Linked DNA regions of Oryzias latipes. The protein of the gene in region 2 interacts with the protein of the main gene of each other region in a pairwise test. Links are inferred from orthologs where the notes say so. Each region holds a gene or a part of one and is shown on either strand. Other genes may lie near its edges. The genes, in order: map2k2, cops5 and gfer.

What was found.
Region 1: the proteins of cops5 (region 2) and map2k2 interact in a two-hybrid assay, tested with the Homo sapiens proteins (2 studies listed by BioGRID and IntAct). The link is inferred for Oryzias latipes from reciprocal best matches to the Homo sapiens genes COPS5 and MAP2K2.
Region 3: the proteins of cops5 (region 2) and gfer interact in a two-hybrid assay, tested with the Homo sapiens proteins (2 studies listed by BioGRID). The link is inferred for Oryzias latipes from reciprocal best matches to the Homo sapiens genes COPS5 and GFER.

What each region holds. Positions count from the first base shown.
Region 1 is NC_019862.2:7,813,785-7,817,941, forward strand, and holds the start of map2k2 (dual specificity mitogen-activated protein kinase kinase 2), read right to left. Parts: upstream 2,865-4,157; 5' UTR 2,201-2,864; coding exon 2,112-2,200; intron 1,941-2,111; coding exon 1,730-1,940; intron 685-1,729; coding exon 538-684; intron 461-537; coding exon 383-460; intron 296-382; coding exon 244-295; intron 1-243. UniProt on the Homo sapiens protein: Catalyzes the concomitant phosphorylation of a threonine and a tyrosine residue in a Thr-Glu-Tyr sequence located in MAP kinases. Activates the ERK1 and ERK2 MAP kinases.
Region 2 is NC_019878.2:17,008,887-17,013,171, reverse strand, and holds the start of cops5 (COP9 signalosome complex subunit 5), read right to left. Parts: upstream 2,933-4,285; 5' UTR 2,784-2,932; coding exon 2,647-2,783; intron 2,567-2,646; coding exon 2,332-2,566; intron 1,772-2,331; coding exon 1,643-1,771; intron 1,267-1,642; coding exon 1,201-1,266; intron 971-1,200; coding exon 885-970; intron 739-884; coding exon 627-738; intron 1-626. Other genes in the region: cspp1 (centrosome and spindle pole-associated protein 1), read left to right, coding at 4,004-4,063, 4,186-4,266. UniProt on the Homo sapiens protein: Probable protease subunit of the COP9 signalosome complex (CSN), a complex involved in various cellular and developmental processes.
Region 3 is NC_019866.2:17,934,946-17,937,865, forward strand, and holds gfer (FAD-linked sulfhydryl oxidase ALR), read right to left. Parts: upstream 1,632-2,920; 5' UTR 1,445-1,631; coding exon 1,292-1,444; exon of another isoform or gene 1,289-1,291; intron 1,160-1,288; coding exon 948-1,159; intron 875-947; coding exon 712-874; 3' UTR 547-711; downstream 1-546. Other genes in the region: drg2 (developmentally-regulated GTP-binding protein 2), read left to right, coding at 1,955-2,018.

The DNA.
Region 1 (4,157 bases), on a different chromosome or scaffold from region 2:
GACTGTTCCTTCACACCAGCAGGGAGGTTCCTCCTAAGAGGAGCCTCCATCTCAAACGTCTGGCCGCTGTTTTCCTCCCAGATTCAAAGGTGTGATCTGACATTTGGACCGTTGGTTCTGTTCACGCGGTGGTGCTCCGGTTGCATCATGATAATGGTTCTACCGTCATATTAGGAGGAGCCAACGAGCGTATGAGGACAGAAGAGCAGACATGATGTTTGTCGGTGTTGGAGGCGTGGTTACCTCTGTGCATGATCTGGTGCTTCTCCCGCAGGTAAGCCAGCCCCCTCAACACCTGCCAACGACACAGCAGAGAAGATCCAGCAGCAGAACAAACCCATTCCAGAGGAACAGACCCCCCCCCCCAGCCACAGGCTCTTACCGCTATGCTGACTTTTCCAAGAATCTCCTCAGGGATTCTCCGGGCTTCCTTTAGGACCTGATCCAAGGATCCACCATCCTGTGGAGACAGAAGACGTGGATGAGAACCTCAACCAGCAGGACGTCTTCAGGGATCCTGGAGGCTCAGAGTCTCACCATGTGCTCCATGCAGATGCTGATCTCTCCATCGCTGTAGAAAGCCCCGTAGAAGCCCACGATGTAGGGGGAGTTGCATTCGTGGAGCACCTGCAGCTCCCTGATGATCTGGTTCCTGATGGCAGGTTTGATTTCCAGGTGGATTAGCTAAAGGAGGGAAGAGGTGGAACAGTGTGGGAGTTGTCTGCAGGACCATAGACACTTGCAGTACCTCAGTGGAACGTCTGGATGGTTTCTGAGGGGGCGTGCATCACTGTGGGGGCAGCAGATTCAGCAACACGACCCACCGCCCCTCCACTAACAACTACAGGAAACTAAGTCTTCTGATGGAACTTGGAGGCCTTGAACAGCCTGAGGAAGAACGTCTAACCAGTCTGAGGATCTCGTGAGTGTCAGCCAGAGACCGAGTCCTGTCCCGTCTGCAGCAGGCGCAGACCGAGTCCTGTCCCGTCTGCAGCAGGCGCAGACCGAGTCCTGTCCCGTCTGCAGCAGGCGCAGACTGAGTCCTGTCCCGTCTGCAGCGGTCGTGTTTTATCTGCCACTACAGATCAGTTGCATTCATCTGCGACAGCCACAGACAAGTCAAGTCCCGCCTGCAGCAGCTGAAGCAGACTTGTTGTGTCCTGTCTGCAGCAGCAAGAGACCAAGTCATGTCCCATCTGCAGCAGCCAGAGACCAAGTCGTGTCCCGTCTGCAGCAGCCAGAGACCAAGTCGTGTCCCGTCTGCAGCAGGCGCAGACCGAGTCGTGGCCCGTCTGCAGCGGTCGTGTTTTATCTGCCACTACAGATCAGTTACATTCATCTGCGACAGCCACAGACAAGTCAAGTCCCGCCTGCAGCAGCTGCAGCAGACTTGTTGTGTCCCGTCTGCAGCAGCCAGAGACCAAGTCCTGTCCCATCTGCAGCAGCAAGAGACCAAGTCGTGTCCCGTCTGCAGCAGGCGCAGACCGAGTCGTGGCCCGTCTGCAGCGGTCGTGTTTTATCTGCCACTACAGATCAGTTACATTCATCTGCGACAGCCACAGACAAGTCAAGTCCCGCCTGCAGCAGCTGCAGCAGACTTGTTGTGTCCCGTCTGCAGCAGCTGCTGGTAACTTTGCAGTGCAGAAAAAATTGGGCGGGCTTTGGGAGAAAGTCAGGCTTCAGATTCCAGAATTGCCTTCTTCACCAAACCGTCAGATGAGGTCCTCACCTTGCGGGCCATGACGAGACCCGAGGGCTTGTGGCGGACCTTGTTGACCACGCCCCCGTTTCCTGCCCCCAGCTCACAGATGGGTTCGAAGTCTTCGTCCTTCAGCTCTCCCACCTGAGCCTTCTGGGTGAGGAAGGCCTCCAGACGCTTCCTCTGCTGTTCATCCAGGTCCAGCTCTCCCAGCTTCTTCTGTAAGGCCTCTAGGTTGGCTCTGGGGAAGGGTGTGTGTGTGTGTGTGGGGGGGGGGGGGTCAAAGTACAGATAGAGACAGTTTACACCCCCCTACAGATGATAGATCTGTGCAAAAGAGTGCCCCCTGCAGATTCAGGGTACTGCATGATCTGCATAAAAATGTAAATTGTTAACCCCCCCCGGGACTCACTCGGACGCAGCATCGATGGTGTTGGACGTGGTCTGTCCCTCCCCGATGGGTGTGATGTTCAGGGGAACGGGTCTCCTTTTGGGGGCCATTTCAGGGAATCGTTCCCGCACGGTTCCTTCCGGCAGCGAACAGTCAGTGCGGCCGCGCGGCACCTCTTCCTTGTTCGGCGCTCGTGAGCGGCTAATAAGTTTCCTGGCTAACGTTAGCTTTCACTTCCGTTAGGGGGGGGGCATGTCAGTGTAGCTCAGAGAAAGCGACCATCAGGAGAACCGTTCTCCTGAGAACCGCGGAGGATCTGGATTTTCTAGATATCTATCTGCTGCTAGCCATTAGCTGCTAGCAGGTCGCGCCAGTCCCTCAACAAACGTCCGAGTCCCGACACGCAGCAGCAGCTCCCCCCGCGTCCAAGAGTCACCTGCGGCCGAGGTTCGAAAAGGCGGCGCCCACTTCACCACAGCCTCCAAACTGTAGTTCGTCCTGGTTTCAGTCCGCGAGGAACGACTGCTGAACGCGCGTGGCTCCGCTCCTGACCCCGGTGCCTCAATACAGGAAGCAGCAGCTGCCTACGGCGATGGGGCTGTGGTACAGCGGCGAACCCGCTGAGTGACAGATTACCAGAATCCCAGTGGAAGTCGAAGTGCGGGTGCAGGGACATAAAGGTTTTTCTAAGGCTCGCGCGGCGCTGAGGAGGGGTTTGGTCGGACACCAAACTGCAGCTTTTCTGCGCGTTTATGTCCGCAGACAAACAGGCTTCTTGGGAAACACCGCCATCCCGCGGCCAAAGAGAGAAGTGCAGTCATGCAAAGAATGTCACAGAATATATGGAAGCATTTGTGTAGCATAATCAAAAATAATCGTCAAAACCAGAAATGCTTTTTCATTTTCAAAATGAAGCTGCATTTTTTGACTCAAAAGCAATCCACCAAAATTCTTTTTCATTTTCTTCTTCAACACTGCATGTTCTTACTCAATTCAAATGATATTGACCGAATGTGTAGCAAAATTCATTTAGAAATGTCTAATTTGACAATTAAAATGGATTTACAGATATGCTTTTTAATTTTCAAAAGGTAACTACATCTAATGACTCAAAAATAAAATGAAAAATCAATACTTCAAAATGCTTTTTCATTTTCAACATAAAAACCACTTATTCTGTGTCATTATTTAAACAAATAAGCAAAGGGGGGATTGCATTTTCATTTTAACATCCACCCTGCAAATATTTTGCTACACATTTACCAGAGAACCTTTTGAAAATGAAATGTCAAATAATATTTTCTTTATCCTTTGAATTAAGTGACAGAATGAGCAGTGAAGAAGAAAAAGAAGTTTGGTGGATTGCTTTTTCTTTTTGCAGCTTCATTTTGATAACGAATAAGCATTTCTGGTACTTTATTTTTAATTGTGCTATAGAAACACTTCTATAAAGGGGTGCTGGCATCTTAATGCAGAAAATCATCTATTGTGTAAATGTAATTTCAGCTAATTGACCGGTTTGCCTTTCGGCTTCAGCCCATCAACCCTGCAGTTCTGGAGACTTTGACTTTTCAAACGTAAACTTCAGAAGATTCATCAAACGTGTTTTTCATAGAGACTCAGCTGCACACATCTCCAAAGAGCAGATCTCTGCTGAAGTTTGGTGCCATCATGCAAACGTCTCAGCAGGTTTTCAGAAGACGGCGGCGTTTCATCCGAGATAAATTAGAGGATGAACAGTCAGCGCTGCAACCAAAACCACCCGTTTAGTGAAGCAAACCTAGAGCAGTTCAGTCTGAACCTGATAGACCACAGCTGACGCTTCTTTAGGATGGAGGAGACACAGAAAAAAAGAGAAGGAACCACTGGAGTAGGAGCAAATGCCTCCTGAAGGTGGGCAGCTCCTCCCAGAGCAGAAGTTGAGACTCAGGTCACACAGTTCCAGAAAAGAGGCGAAGATGTTTTTTAAGAACAGATTTTATTAATTCAACACGTCAATAACAGCTGTTAGAATACATTTCTTTATGTTACAGTTTCATCGTCCTGAACAGACTCACACGTGGAACA
Region 2 (4,285 bases):
CACACAAAAGCCAGATAACAGAGTGTTCCATAGAAAGAACTTGTTACAGACTAGCCACAAATCGAACCATCTCTGAGCTGTCCCGAAGGAAAAGAAGTCATGGAGAAGTTTGCTTAAGGTGAGGCTGTGTTTATAGTAGAGCAGGTAATTAAAACACAATGCCATGGGGGGGGCCTGACTAGGGTGACAGTGTAGCAACTGACAAAGCCCGTCACCTACTGAGCAGCTCCTTCTTGACATCTAGTCAATACATCTTCATCCAGAATGCCAGCGAGTGAACTGTTTAGATAAGCCTGGTGTCTATTTAACCCAGCTCAGGACCACAATGCAAATTCATGTGACGGCCTTTCAGTCTTTAGAAAAAACTGTGCTCGAGGGGCGGGGGGCTTCTGGATGAGTGGAGTCAAGTCCAACTTTAATACCCATCATCTTCTTCTGCTCCAAAGTTCACAAAGACCTTATTACTAAAAACAATAAACAAGCAGGGCCAGCTAAAAAGCAGCAATAAATCAACACATCACAACATGTTGACTCCATGTCTGAATGAGTTATAGAGTAATAATTAACCATAAATCAAAATGTCAAACAATTAGTGAACATTTTGAGTTTTGAGGTGGCTTACATACCGTAAGAAGGCTGGAGGAACTTAAGGTATTGACCCAATATTTGTTCCAAAGGAGTTCCAGGAGCTTTCGATCCAGAGAAGACTTGAAGTAAGTCACCTCCAAGGCGTAATATCTGAATAGAGACAATCATAAAGAGTTGAAAAAAAAGATAATTCAGGAGCATGTTAAATATATGCATCTTTGATACATAAAGTTTTGATAAATAAAGTTTGATTGATTGATTTATTAAGAGTGGTTTAGTGCTTTAAATTTACTCACTGTTTACAATGAACACCAAAGTCTTCTATCTTGTTCAGCGGGATTGTTTGATATTCTGATGGTCCTTCATCTGGAGGTTTGTAACCCTGAAAATCCACAAGGAAAATGTTAAAAAATAATACAAAATAAAAAAAAAGAATTAGCACATTTGTTTAATCATTAACAAGTAAACAAATTAAGACATTCTGATGTATATTTATGACAAATATTTATTCAGATCCCTCCTAAAAAAACTAACATCAACGATTCGAACTTAAAATTTAATTTATGACTTCAATAAGTCATAACACCATGTTTCTCTTGGTCTTTGCTGTACCTTTGGGTATGTTCTGAAGGCACCTAGATTGACTTTCCCTGCAGAAATAGTCCGAGTGGGGTCGATCTGTAGGACACAAGATACAGTAAAACAGGAAAACAAAGTCAAAGGTCGGAATCCTCCAGAGACCACTGGAATCAGTTCACTAGGAGCCTTTTTCCCGCAGCTGTCAGTGTGAAAAAAACACACACTTAATTATACGACGCCCCTGGCGTCGAAGCCCTGCTGAACTAAAGGACGTGTAAATAGCATATGGGGTTGCAAAAGGAAAATAGTCAGTAGTGCAATGCCAAAACATGCAGTGAATGCATTAATAGATTTTCATTTACGTTCTTGTAATGTTTTTTTTTTAAAGACGAAACAGGAACTTTCCTCCTCATTTTTTAAAAATTCCACTAGCAGGAAATTACATTAAAATAACGTTATAAAAGTTTATACGTACAACAACAGCAACAAAAGGCTCCTGAAACTGCTGGTTGAGCATCTGAGTGCTCACGTCGATCCCTGACAGCCAGCATCCGTAACCCGGGTGACTGTGGTACCAGCCAATGGCATTCTCCAAACGGCCAACCTGGGGGGTTAAAAAGATAAATATAACAAAATTATTCATAATTATTTATAATACAATATTATAAAGTGTTTATTGTTTAATACAATGAAAAGGTTTTACTAAATCTGACGTGGCTTGCTTAGTTTCTAAAAAATACGGAAACTATTTATGAAAGGAAATAGACAGACTTCAATAGGTCAGTCGGGGATAGAAGTTATTTTTAAGCTTTTAAAAACAAAAAAATGAATATTATAAATGCTCTGCTATCCCCAAAGATAACTGGAAACAGCGGGACAGCAACTCAAGAAAATCCAGGCTGGACTTATTCCGGCTACCTGTAGCCCACCAAAAAAAAAAAAAGAAGAACAGTCATAACGACAATAGAAACTAAATAAAAGATTAGAACACTTCAATAGACATATTGACATACTGAACACAGAACCTATGACTAATAAATCTTAATAAGAGACAGTTTTTCAACAATTCCACCAGGAACTGTGTAATCTGTCAAGAAGAAGTAATTGCTGCTGTGTCATTTCAGTGTTGGTGTATGTTTTTACAATAAAATAACATGATCCCACCTGTTTGGCGTTTTCAATGTAGGCAGCCATGTATTCGTATGCTGCAGCCTGCGCGTTCACCCTGGTTTCTGTTCCCTCCACAGGCAAAGCGAAGCTGTCCATGATGATCATGGTCTCCCCGTCCACCTTCCCCAGCATGAGACCCATCACCTCCAGGTTCCCCCCTGACCTGGCATGCATCACCATCTTCAGCAGGGCCAACGCGGAGATTTTGCAGTACTTGAAGTAGTGGTGACTAATGATTTGAGAAAAAGAAAACACAATTAGTTTACGCGACACAACAAATAGGAATGAAGTCAATCAGGTTGAAAGTACTCTTTTGTCCACGGCTTCGCCGCGAGGATTTCTTGTTGTTGTTTTTTGTCGTATTTGTAAATTTCATCGATGCTCTGGACTTCCTGCATGCTGTTCGACAGCTCCCACGTTTTCTGAGCTGTACTACTTCCAGCCATGATAAAGTGTCAATTCAAAATACGAAGAATAAGCGTTTCGAACGTCAGTGACAACAACACAAACAAAGAAATTGTGTATATCCGTCTAAAGTAACAGGGCCAGACGTTCTCTTGCAACGGCAGCCATGACAGGGAACGATACCAAAACAATGACGTCGAAAGATTGAACCTTTCTTTGTTGATTTGGAAAAATACAAAAGTCGAAGTTTCGTATCTTTATGTATTAAAATGGATCATTAATAATATATTGAAAAAATCAATACAATTTATGTAAGAGTTAAAAGTTCTGCTAAATGTACCCATCAATTCTGGTACTGTCACCCCTCTGATAATGGTTTAGTCCAAAAGAGACGTCAGCAGACACTTGAGGATGCACTGGCATCTAGCGGTGAGACTTGTAAAAAGCAGACAGGTTTGAGAATATTTTTTATCCTGTTTTTAGAACTTTGTTTTTTATTTAATGCATTGTATATCTAATAAAGACCCTAATGGGAGATAACAGTTATTAATGCTGCAAAAAAAAAAACTTCTCGAAAAAACACATTAGCGAACGTCATTGGTCAAGAGTAAAGGTAAAACATCAATGTTACTTCGTGTTTGTCATCTTATAAAGCTTAGAAAGCACGTTTAGGATTTTCAAAGATATTTTTATTGAAATGCGATTAAGTTTGTATGATTACCACATAAACTTTAGATATACGGAGTTTTTTGTGGTTTCGTGTTTGCTAACTTCTTTAGCCTGTGCCAACCTTTGTGTCACGGTTGCCCATAGCAACGCTTGCTGCGTTGCCATTTTAGTGCGGCGAAAACATTCAGAATAGTCATAAAAATGTCTAATTAATTAAGTATGTATCCTTTAGAGTTAGAGTTTCATCTAAGGTTTCATTTTTATAGCTTTGTTCACTGCCAGGTTGTGCTGTTTGAGTTTATAATGGAAAACACCTAACTTTCAATTTGCATGCACCTGTATGCTGAGAAAGTTCTTGAATCTGACCTTGGACAACTAACTTTCTGTATGAATGTTTTTCATCATTTGCAGGTGATGTGCATTTTGTAAAACTCTAGCATCCACAAAATATGGAACCATATAGCTTATCATAAACAAGATGAAGTATTTGTGGTAGTTTTAATTTTCAATCAGTCCAATTATACTGGCTATTTATTTGCTATGTTTTTCTCTCTCTCTAGGTTTTAACTGAGGCTTAGTATCAGAGCGTGAAATGGAGGAACAGAAACCTCTTCTGGATCTGCGGCTGGACTTCAAATATCATGCAGCCAAGGTCAGATATCATACGATTATTATAGGATCATTTAAAGAGAATTTTTGTTGACTGTGTTACCTCTGATTCTCCATTCTGCCAACTTATTTTTCTATTTTTTATTCTTACATGTACCTTTTAAGGAACACGATTTAAAAACCTGTGAACCTCATCCACAACACCAAGGGCTTTCCTTACCTATTGATGATAGAGCATCCATAAAGGTGTGTCCTTGTGTGCACT
Region 3 (2,920 bases), on a different chromosome or scaffold from region 2:
ACTGTTGATTTTGCCACTCCTGATACTGTAGCAATTTATGACATGGTTTTTTTTCTGTTTTCTCAGCTTAATGATGGCTCATTTCACCTGCATTGAGAGCTCCTTTGACCACATGTTGTCTGTTCACAGCATAATCTAAAATGCAAGCACGAGTCCTCCAATCAACTCCAGGCCTTTTATCTGCTTCACTCATAATGACATGACAAGGGAATTGCCCACACCTGCCCATGCAATAGCATGGAAGTCAATTACTTACGAGCCCATGAAATGAAGGTATTGTTTTAAAAATGCTTTAGTTTTTCACATTTTTATGTTAAGTCTGCACTTCAATGGCAGCCTGATTTCATTTAGATAAGTACATGTTTAGGAGAACAAACAAAATAATTTTCATAAGAAGTAAATGTTACATTTAGAATACTGTGTTATTTTGGCCCAACCTCTTTTTTACCACTGATCACAAATTAAGTCAATCTACAAACTGGATTTCCTTAAAAGATAATTCTGGCTACATCAGATGGATGGGTTTTTAATCAAAAAAGGACTCCATTCTTTTTGTCCAGGCTTTTATTTGAAAGCAACAATAATTATGCCATCTAAACACAAAGCAAATAGTCACATGATTCACAAACACAAAAGCTACTGAGGAGGTTTGCGGTCCGGAGTTGTTTTTTTTCCTTCATAGCAGCTGCATCCCTGAATCCTTCAGCTCATTCAGTCGCAGGAGCCATCTTTCCAGCCATCCTTCCATCGCTCATCCACGCGCGAGCAGTCAAACTCTGGCTTTCCCAGACGTGCGTTCACGTCGTTGTGAAGATGACAGAGCCACTGGGAGAGTGTGCTGCGGTTGCTGGTCTCCGGCTGATTGGTTTTCAATCTGCAGAGAAGATATTGTAAATTTATTGAGTATTCAACTAAAAATAATTGGGATAAACATTTAAGGTATCTACCTATTTCTGAGGTCTTCTGCACAATCTTCACAGGGATAAAAATGGGAGAAGAGGTTGATGAACTGTTTCATTTCCTGCTGTTGAGTCGATGATGGTTGATCAGGGTAATATGCCGCCATCGTGTGCAACAAGGACCAAGAGTTTCGCCCCAACTCTTCCCTGTCCAGGGGACACTGTGGGTCTTGGTGCTCCACTTCTGCAGCCTGGCTTTCCTGCAGGACACAGATACATACAGGATTCGCCTAAAGTATTACACAGTAACACCATTTTGAAAACAACGAACAACTGGGTCAGCCCAATGGACTATTTGTTTTATCAATAAAGTTTTAGCAATTTTGACTCACATGATGTAAAGCCACGGACTGCTGTTTCTGCTGCTTCATCCACGATTTAAAGTCCGTACAGGTTCTACATGGCTTCTTTTTCCCATCCCGGCTCTGCTCCTGCTCTTTAAGGTTGGGAACTGAAGGTTGACGGCTGTCAGGTGGCGCAGCCATCTTCGCTCCGTGAATAATTACCTAACTTCCAATCCTCACCGGACCGCTGTTTTTATACTTATCTGGAATATATAGTTGCCAGAATTTTGAATTAGGTCAACACAAAGACTAATTGTAATTTGGTGACATTTCTGTCATTGAACAGACGGTGTCGACTAAGGTAGCTACGTAGGTGTGAAAGTTTCGCAAGATCTTTTGTTTCTTCCGGACTTTTTAGAGCGCAGGACCGTTTTCCGGTCGGCCGGTTTTACTTGCGTGCAGCAGTCTCTCCTCTGTTAGTACCTTTTTTCCCCTTATCGTTTATAGGTTAATATTTACCACTGTTTGTGCCTTTTAAAAATGCTCATACAAGCCTTCAAATGTCTGTAGATTTTGTCATATAATTTTTTTCAACTTCTGTTTATTTTAGTTTGGTTTGCTAACACAGCTAACCAGAAGTGGCGACACGTTTTTGTTGTCATTTATTTCTTCTGTTTTGACAGAGAAACCGCAGCCGACCTGAACAACAACATGGGTATTCTGGAAAAAATTGCAGAAATCGAGAAAGAAATTTCTCGGACACAGAAAAACAAAGGTAAAAAAAGAGTTGTCACGTAGCTACATTAGAAAACTGAGCCAGCTGCGCATTTTTGAGGCTCTTTCTGGGGTGTACTGGCAAGTTGCTACAACAATCTGCTGCTTTTGAGGAACTTCAATGCTCAGTCTTGAAAACTAGAGAGAAATAAGTTTGGTTTTAGAAGCAAAAAATACTTGTAGTTATAATCTTACACTATATGTGTTACATTTAAATATCAATGTCACACAATAAAGGAATAATCTTCATATAAAATGAGTAAACAAACTGCCTTTAAAGAAAAAAAAATTCCAAGTGCTATTAATGACTAGAAAAGGGATTGTTACATTATTACTCACCTTTTTAGTCTCATGTAAGTTATAAATATGATAAAATGGGTATGTATTTACTAAAGTTACTCAGTTTGCCATTGACGTGTATACATATGTCTAGTAGGGGTGTATATTATATTAGCAAGAGTCTGGCGTTACGATGCACAATACACCTCTCCCAATACAAAATACATCACAATATAATTTACGTCTCCCTTGTTCTCGTCTGGAGCCCACTTACAAGGCACCACAATCCGCGTTTTTATACGGTACTGGCAGCAATGTGTCACAGAGTTTCGACTCGGTACCCATCCCAAGCAAAGACTAAGTAGTACATGTCTCATAACAACAAAAACTGCAAGGCTGACTGAGAATTCAGCATTTAACACAAGCTGCTTCTTGTTGTTTTCGTGCGGTGTAGAAGAGCTGCTCAAAGAGAAAACCCACTCATACACGGGGAGATTATGCAAACTCCGTACAGAAAGGTACGAGCTGGGATTCAAACGCGGGCCTTTCACTGATTCGAGAGTGCCAACCACTGCACCACCGTGTAGTCACCTCAGCCATTAATTCACAAATTGAACTGATATA